2 linked regions of the Tribolium castaneum genome follow. The protein of the gene in region 1 interacts with the protein of each later gene in a biochemical or structural test. Links are inferred from orthologs where the notes say so. Each region holds a gene or a part of one and is shown on either strand. Other genes may lie near its edges. The genes, in order: mitogen-activated protein kinase kinase kinase 7 and TGF-beta-activated kinase 1 and MAP3K7-binding protein 1.

Evidence for each region.
Region 2: of the proteins of mitogen-activated protein kinase kinase kinase 7 (region 1) and TGF-beta-activated kinase 1 and MAP3K7-binding protein 1, one has a biochemical effect on the other in vitro, tested with the Homo sapiens proteins (4 studies listed by BioGRID and IntAct). The link is inferred for Tribolium castaneum from reciprocal best matches to the Homo sapiens genes MAP3K7 and TAB1.

The regions. Positions count from the first base shown.
Region 1 is NC_087399.1:3,650,686-3,654,609, reverse strand, and holds the start of mitogen-activated protein kinase kinase kinase 7, read right to left. Parts: upstream 2,377-3,924; 5' UTR 2,244-2,376; coding exon 2,163-2,243; intron 2,119-2,162; coding exon 1,819-2,118; intron 1,773-1,818; coding exon 1,341-1,772; intron 1,293-1,340; coding exon 1,065-1,292; intron 982-1,064; coding exon 906-981; intron 1-905. Other genes in the region: putative ankyrin repeat protein RF_0381, read left to right, coding at 2,419-3,034, 3,079-3,467; prohormone-2, read right to left, coding at 3,650-3,924. UniProt on the Homo sapiens protein: Serine/threonine kinase which acts as an essential component of the MAP kinase signal transduction pathway. Plays an important role in the cascades of cellular responses evoked by changes in the environment.
Region 2 is NC_087395.1:17,238,988-17,242,911, reverse strand, and holds the start of TGF-beta-activated kinase 1 and MAP3K7-binding protein 1, read left to right. Parts: upstream 1-1,084; coding exon 1,085-1,775; intron 1,776-3,924. UniProt on the Homo sapiens protein: Key adapter protein that plays an essential role in JNK and NF-kappa-B activation and proinflammatory cytokines production in response to stimulation with TLRs and cytokines.

The sequences.
Region 1 (3,924 bases):
AAATCAAGGAAAAATCTCAAACGGTACGAAACATGATGAGATTTCGGACAGGATCGATAGGAACGTGTCGATTGTTTATGTTCGGGGGCCACTCGAAAAACTACGCGAGACTACCAGCCGCTGGAAAGAAACTGGCAACGGCCGCATGGGTGCGACTGAAATAGCGATACGGGGAAGACGCCAGGGACAGAGCAAGGCGCTGCCAGCGACGGACTGCCCAAAACTTTCGTCCCAACGTTTTTTGAAAAATATGGGGCAAAAGTTTGATTTTTTTTAAATATAGTTTACAACAAAAATTTTGCACCATGTCCTACAACCATGAATAAGTGCGCTCTCTGGCGACGAGAACGTTTTATTCGTCCATCGTTTCGCATCCTAACTTTTAGTCGTCCGTAGTCCCAAGCCAAAATTTGGAATTGTTTCTGCGGAAATGGCCTTAGGCAAGGCCTCAAAGCGCGTAAAACCTGCAAATAGCCGCCTTTTCCGCATTTCGGAGGCCGGTGGTGAATTGGGGCCAGGCCGTCCCTGGCAGGCCGATCAAGAAACTTCCAACTAAACAAACTACTCTAAATCGGTCTCGCTGAGTCAGCGCGTCTAAAAACAGATGCCCCTTCGTTTCGCACGTATTTAGGAGGAGGAACCGGAATTTCGGCCAAATCGAGCTTAAAGCGCCGGACCTGCACGACTTTAAGGTCGCAAAGCGATAAAAATACCGCGACGAAGCCGTGCAGACAAGTCGACTCGGCTTTGATCTTATTTTTATTGGTCCGTGTGTGACTAACACTGCGACAAATAAAAATTATAGCCCCTCGAGTGTTTTCAAGAATTGCAAGTTGTTGAGTCATGCACTAAGCCAATGCTCTCGGCTAAATTTACAACGAGCCCACAAGAACAACACAACCTACCGTTTTTTGGTACCATCTTATCAAGGCCGGGCATGGTTCTCAGCTGCATGTCGAGATCGTGTAAATCCCATGCGTCCTGCAACAAACGACTCAATTAATCAATTTTACTCATTTTCTATTAAAAGACAATTACGTCATGCGACGTAAAAACCGACTTACAGGGCTTATTTTAATGTTGAGGGGCCGCGACATCTCGGCACTCGGCTGGGGCAGCGATTTGACACAATTATCGCCGTTGGTGCTGGCGGGGAACTGGTCTATTTCCTCCACACAGTCCTCAAACTCTTCGATTTCCTCCTTGTAAACCACATCGTCACCGCCCCTGATCTGCAACGGCTCGTCGGCGCCCGGAAGCAACGAGCAAATAACTTCCATTTTTTTCACAATCTGGAAGCCAAACTTTGACTTTCCCCACTCAAAAAATAGTGCACTCACCTCCTTCATGCTCGGCCGCTTGGCCGCCTCCTGATCCCAGCACTGTGTCATCAGTTTTTCGATGACTGGGGGGCAGTGCCTGATGAGAGGGGGCCTCCGGCCGCTGTGCTTCGCCCACAAGATCATGAAAGCCGAAGGGTAGCCCGACTCCTTAATGTGGAAAAAAGGCTTAAGTCGCGATAACACCTCCCAGAGGATTATGCCCCAGCTGAAGACGTCGCACTTTTCCGTATAGTTTGACGTTTCAAAGACCTCGGGGGCCATCCACGCGGCCGAGCCTTTGTTGTTGGTCATGATTGCTGTCATGTCTGTGGCAGTACCAAAGTCGCATATCTTTAGCAAGGTGCCCCCGTTTATCAGGAGCAAGTTGGGCGGTTTGAGGTCTCTGTGTATCAAAGGTTTGGGTTTCATGCCATGGAGATACTCGACCCCCTGGAAAACCGAGTTAAGAGTGTGTCGGTGCGGCTTCGCCCCTTACTTTGGCGCACTGGTAGAGCCAGGACATGGCGTTGGCCATCGTGTAGTGTACGTTAGGTGCGTGGTGTAGAATATTGAAGAGGGAGCCCCCTTCGGCGTACTCCATCACAAGGCAGATGTTGGGGCCCTTGGTGCAGGCCCCGTACAGCTTGACAATGTTCTCATGCTTGACCCTTGACAGCTGCCGGACTTCCACAATAAAGGCGTCTTTGTCGTTCTCAGAGACGATGTTTTTGACCGCCACGAACGCATCGCGCCAGATTCCCTTGTAAACGACTCCAAAGCTGCCCTCACCGACTGCCTGAAACCACAATGTGTCGGTGGCCACAACCAGGGCTACTTTACCTCAAGCTTCTGAATTTCATTGTAGTTGATTTCCTCGACGGTGTACTGACATACGCTACCCTCATTTTCCGAAGACGCCATCGAAATACCGAAGTAATCACATATTTGGCCACAGAGCGTCCAGACAGCCCCAAAATTACGAAAAATCTCGATAAATATCAACCACCATAAATTTGGTTATGTATCCTTCAGATCAAGTGTCACCTTCGGCTCGAAAATCCCCAGCCGTGTTCAAAACTCGGCGCGAGTGTCAATCATGTCGAGCGAACGGGATTTACACAAACGGGGGCACCAGGGCTTCAAGAAGCGAGTCGAGAGTGACGTGATGAGCAGTGTGGGCAAGAAAGTCCTAGAGAAGAAATTCTTCGTTGCCGTTTACTCCCGGAACATTCCTGAGATAACAAAGTGTTTGAGTAAAGGAGTAAACCCGAACATTCGCTCCACGGAGTACGGTGTCACCCCTTTGCATTTACTCGCCGAACGGAACGACTACATCCTGGGGTACCGCCTTTTGGAGTATAAAAAATTTGACGTGGATGTGCGGAACGCCCACGGTTACACTGCCCTGCATGTTACCTGCTTATGCGACTGCAAAAAATTTGCCCTTCTTTTGCTGGAACACGGAGCCGACCCCAATATTTACGGCCGGTTTAATAAAACAGCCCTGCATTTATCCGTACAGAATGAGAATTACGGTATTACGATAAAGTTGCTAAAATTCGGGGCTGAGGTCAATGTTGTTGACTGCTTTGGCAATACGCCCCTCTCTTTGAGCATCCTAGACACCAATAATTACCTAATTGCCAAAACCTTGTTCCAAAGTGGGGCCAATATGAGCGTCGAGCACCAAAGACCACTCCATATTTTTTTTGGTACTTGATCATCCAAACGAAAAAAGTATTATTAAAATTTGCAGAAATGGTGTTGTATTGCCGCTGCATTCGTCAGATTGATTTGGTGCTGCTCTTGTTGGAGAACGGGGTTAATATTAATATGAGGGAGCCCGACTCAGGGCGCAATTGTCTCCACTTTGTTGCGGTGACCGGTTTTCTGGAACTGGCGGTGGTTTTGGTCGAAAAGGGGGCTAAAATCCACGTTGTGGATAGCTGTAAGCGCAGCCCCATTAAAGTGGCTGTGGACCACGGTAACGAAGTGATCGCCGATTACTTCCGCAAGGGCTACAGACCCCCGCCTTTGCTCACCGCCCTCCCGAAGATCTTCCAGTGGTCTAGCAAGGTCCGGGCGCGAATCAGCGAGCGGAAGCTGGCGGAGATGGAGAAAGAGGCCGAATTGAAACAAAAATAAACAGATCATTATGCACAATTTATTAATATTACGGAATACAACATTCAATAAATATATTGTAAATATTATACTGACTGACTTTTTGAGAGTTAAAACATATAAACATCAATAAACTAGTAACACAGATAGACTTTAAACGATTCAAAAACGCGATATGAGCTCGGGTTTAGTCTAAAAACTTATTACAAAACTAGCCGATGGTAAAGGGGAACATTAGGCTCGCGTTGATTGCTCAAGAGTTGGCTCAGCGTGTAGTAGTCGTTCTTGTTGGGGCCGTTCAAGTAGCGCAGTTCTCTGGTGGGGTCGTTGCGCTTTTTGGCCACCATGAAGCGCTTCTTCCTGCTGTCGGCGAAGCCGCCCCATCGGCCGCGCTTCTCGTCCATGAGGTAGCTGGGGGCGAGGTCGTTGTGGCCGGTGGCGTGGGGGTACACGGGGGCGTCCAGCCAGTTCTCCTCCT
Region 2 (3,924 bases), on another chromosome or scaffold:
TGTCTGACGCTATTATCTGTGTCAAATCGTGACTTTGGATTCAATACCAGTTCTAATACACGTGGAAAGCTATTCAATCGGTTTTTTATTGTTCCTTTTCTATTAGAAAAACACAACAATAGCTTCCAATCAATGAAAGAACGAGGAAAACAGATAAACGAACGTAATTTATTAACGTGTGATTAAAGATAAGGGTGTTTTGATGAAATATCGATTCGTGTTAGCAAAGTAACGGTGTTATTATTGTGAGAAAAACACAAGTGGAGGGCTTCGTTATGAACTGTGCCACATGCAAGGAGAATTAACCACAAAAAATGCCTGGCTTACAAAAACGTTCCGGAAAAAACCTCAATAAACAATATTATCTCTGGATCGGTTCATTGACTTTATTACTGTGTAAAATATAACATTACAACTATCCACCACGGATTGCGAACGAGTTTATTATTAACGTTCTAAATTTAATAGGTGGACAAGAATGTCTGGATTGTGCGGTTCCGGGACATCAAACCAGACCTTGAGAACGTAAGGGGCCAACCGAGGCCGCCACCAAAAACAATGCTAATGCTAATACGAATAATTTCGTCGTAATAAGGCCATAATTGGGGCTATTTTCCAATCAAATCGCGCCTTTTTCTGGAGGTGAAATCAAGCGAGCTTACCTGACTTGGACACGATTTATGGCATCGTAAACGAAGAGAATTTATTGGGTTTGCTAAAATTTAACGAAATTTAGTAAACATAACGGTATTTTTACTGCAATTTCTAGTGAAACGTCACAAATGTCACAATAACACAATCACAACAAAAAAAGTGGGTCGGGTTTGGGGAAAACAGGCTGGACACACGAAATTCAATGTCACTGGTGATATAATTTGCTGGAACTAGACCAAGTTATGGTAATCCCCTTATTAATATTACATCGTTAAAAGTGAAAAAATACAGTTACACTCTCGAATTGTATGTTTGGAGTAAATACGAAGTGTTATTTAATTTATGCCGTCCGGTCACGTGGTATCTACACCAGAAGTGTTGCCAACAGTGGTTATTGCCATTTTTTAGGTTATGTATTTGTCAAAAATATATGAAGCCTCTAAAGCCAACCGAGACAATTTACAAGAGCCAAGGGACATGGACCGACGCATTGACAGTGTGCAAAAACGCCGGAATTGGATATTCCACCAACCAGATCTACCGCGAGGACGGCAACCCCCAGGAGGACCACCCGTATGAAGACTGCAGCTGCCACTACGAGTTCAACAACGGCACCTGCTGGTACGCGGTCTTCGACGGGCACGAGGGCCAGAAAGCCCCGCATTTCTCGTCGCAGCTGACCGCCGAAATCTACTTCTCTCAACTGACCGAGAAGAAGACTGACGATGAAGTGAGGGAGATCCTGAGACAGGCGTTCATTTCGGTCGAAACGGGGTATATGCAGTCGATTGGCGACCTGCTGGCTGACAGATTAAGGCTGCAGGATGACTTACCCGAAGGCTCGAACTCGTACGAGGCCTATCAGAAGGCGCCCCATGTCGTTGAGAGTATTAAACGGATCAATTGTGAGCTGTCGTCAGGGGCCGCCGCTGCCGTCGCTTTGATTCACAACAATAAGTTATATGTGGCTAATGTCGGAAATTGTCGCGTATTGTTATGCAAAACTGATGCAAATTCGGTGTTGAAAGTCGTCCAGTTGAGTGTCGACCACGATTTGAAGAACGAGGACGAGTTGCTGAGGCTGGCGCAGATTGGGATCAATCGGGAGTATTTGAGGAATTGTAAGTTGGAATTCTAGCCATAAAGCAATAAAATAGTTATTACACCACAAGTTTAAAAAAGCGTTAAATAGGGTTCTTATTTTTCTAAAATAAATTTTTCGTCGCGACTACGGAGGACTGTAGATTAGGAGACGAAATGAGATACAAAGTAGGATTTTCTCTAGTCCGGCGAAGTAAAAATGAGGGCGCTTCGAGCGTTAAACCGTCTCGGTGCAAATCGTTTTAAATTAATTTAAATTCAATCAATTCACTCATTGGAAAGAAAAAATGCAGAAATGTTGAGCTTTGCATTCTTAATAGGCAGAAAAAATGACTAAAATTTTCACGGGAACCAAGAGACAAAAATTTATGTTAATAATACTAACAGAGTATTTTACACACCTTAAAATATTTTATTCTTCGACACTGTCAAAATTTACGGTTTTTCTCCTGTGTAAGGAAGTTTTGACAACTGTTTGGCATTTCTCAGTACGAAACGTCAGATTATTTTTAACAAATTTAAAGCAGTTTTAAGCCTTGCTGAGTCTATTTCGAAGAATAAAATGTTGTATTCAACTCGTTTTTGTGTAAATCGGTTCATTTATTTCGCCTCGTGGATGATAAACCACTCGTTTTCACTCGTGGTTTAAAAATCCACTCGTGAGATAAAGCGTCCGATTTACACTCAAACTCATTAAATAAATAACTATACTTAGATTTCGGTTGGTATTACATAGACAAAATATTACTAAAATCATTCTGAATATAATCCTCAAACGGATAAAAGTTTTGGAAAACTGAAATAGTGCTTAAGGTTTTTGTGGAGGAAAATTTCTTTTTAGAAAGACATAAAATTTAATTGTATAATAGTTAGTTTCATGTCGGGCTTTTGTTTGCCTTAGATTATTTAAGGAAAAATAATTTCCTCTTGTACAATAATTTATTATGATTAGAACCTAGAAGAGAATATTCACTGCTGTGCTTGGAAAAATATTTCGAGACCTTTAAGGATACACTAAACTGTCTTTATTGCCTATTTTGTTTCACAGTTCTTCTTGAAATTATTTGATATTATACATTACGTATATTTACACTTCTGTTTCCCTTCCCAATTTTTTTTCTTGCACCCGTCACTTCTTTCATACATTTTTTCCTCTTGACTCCACACACTCTGACAAACAATGTTTATTTAAAAATATATAAACTAGAAAGTGTGAGAATTGGTAATATTTTTTTATATAGCTTTCAATAAAATGTTTGCCCTGACTTTGAGTGGTATGATTAAAAAAGTATTTGATTTTACTTCAAGTAAATAATTCACGTCGTAGTTTTACTTCAAATAAATATTACCTAACGTAGCATTTACTTCACAGTATACTTGAAGTAAGTAGTATAAGTAAATACTTCAGACTCCTTTATGTACTTTGGTATATAGAGGACAATACTATGGAAACTAGGTAAACAATAGAATATCGTACTTTAATAATTTCTGTTAAGTTACGAGTAAGCTCCATGATCTTCTTTTTAGAATTAGTTCTTTTAAAACACTTAATTATTTCTTTACTTTCAAAATAAAAGTTTTAACTACTATTACGTATTATTATGAAATATTTAATACTTATTCCAGTATTAGTACTTTAACAAACTCTGTAAAATAAGATACTTATTAACTTATGTATTCTTCTATTCTACAAAGTTTTAGAAATAAACCTTTATCCATTTGCTTGTAAATGGAATTTTCCAAAATTGTCGTTACTTAATAGAACAAAATTAATAGAACATTTGAATCAAATTAAAGTTAATTAATTAACAAAATCTCTATGACGGAAATCTTGTCATAAGGTTATTTAATAACGTATTCATCAGTTGCCACATTATTGGCAAGTTGGAGTCATTTTTCTTAAATATAGTTACAACAATGGGACTAACTAGAGTTAGAAGTAGGACAGCATTTTGAAGACATTAATTTGTTTTGGTTGTGAAAATTTAGGAAGATAAAAAAAATAATATTACTAATCAAATTACTGACCCATTTCCATTTTCTAAACTACCATATCGCCTACAAGGAGGCAATGTATGTAAATTTTGGAACCTAATGAATTACTTCAATTTAAACCACAACAAAAAAGCTCTTTTGTCGCAAAATACTCGCGATCTAGCTGTCTCTCTA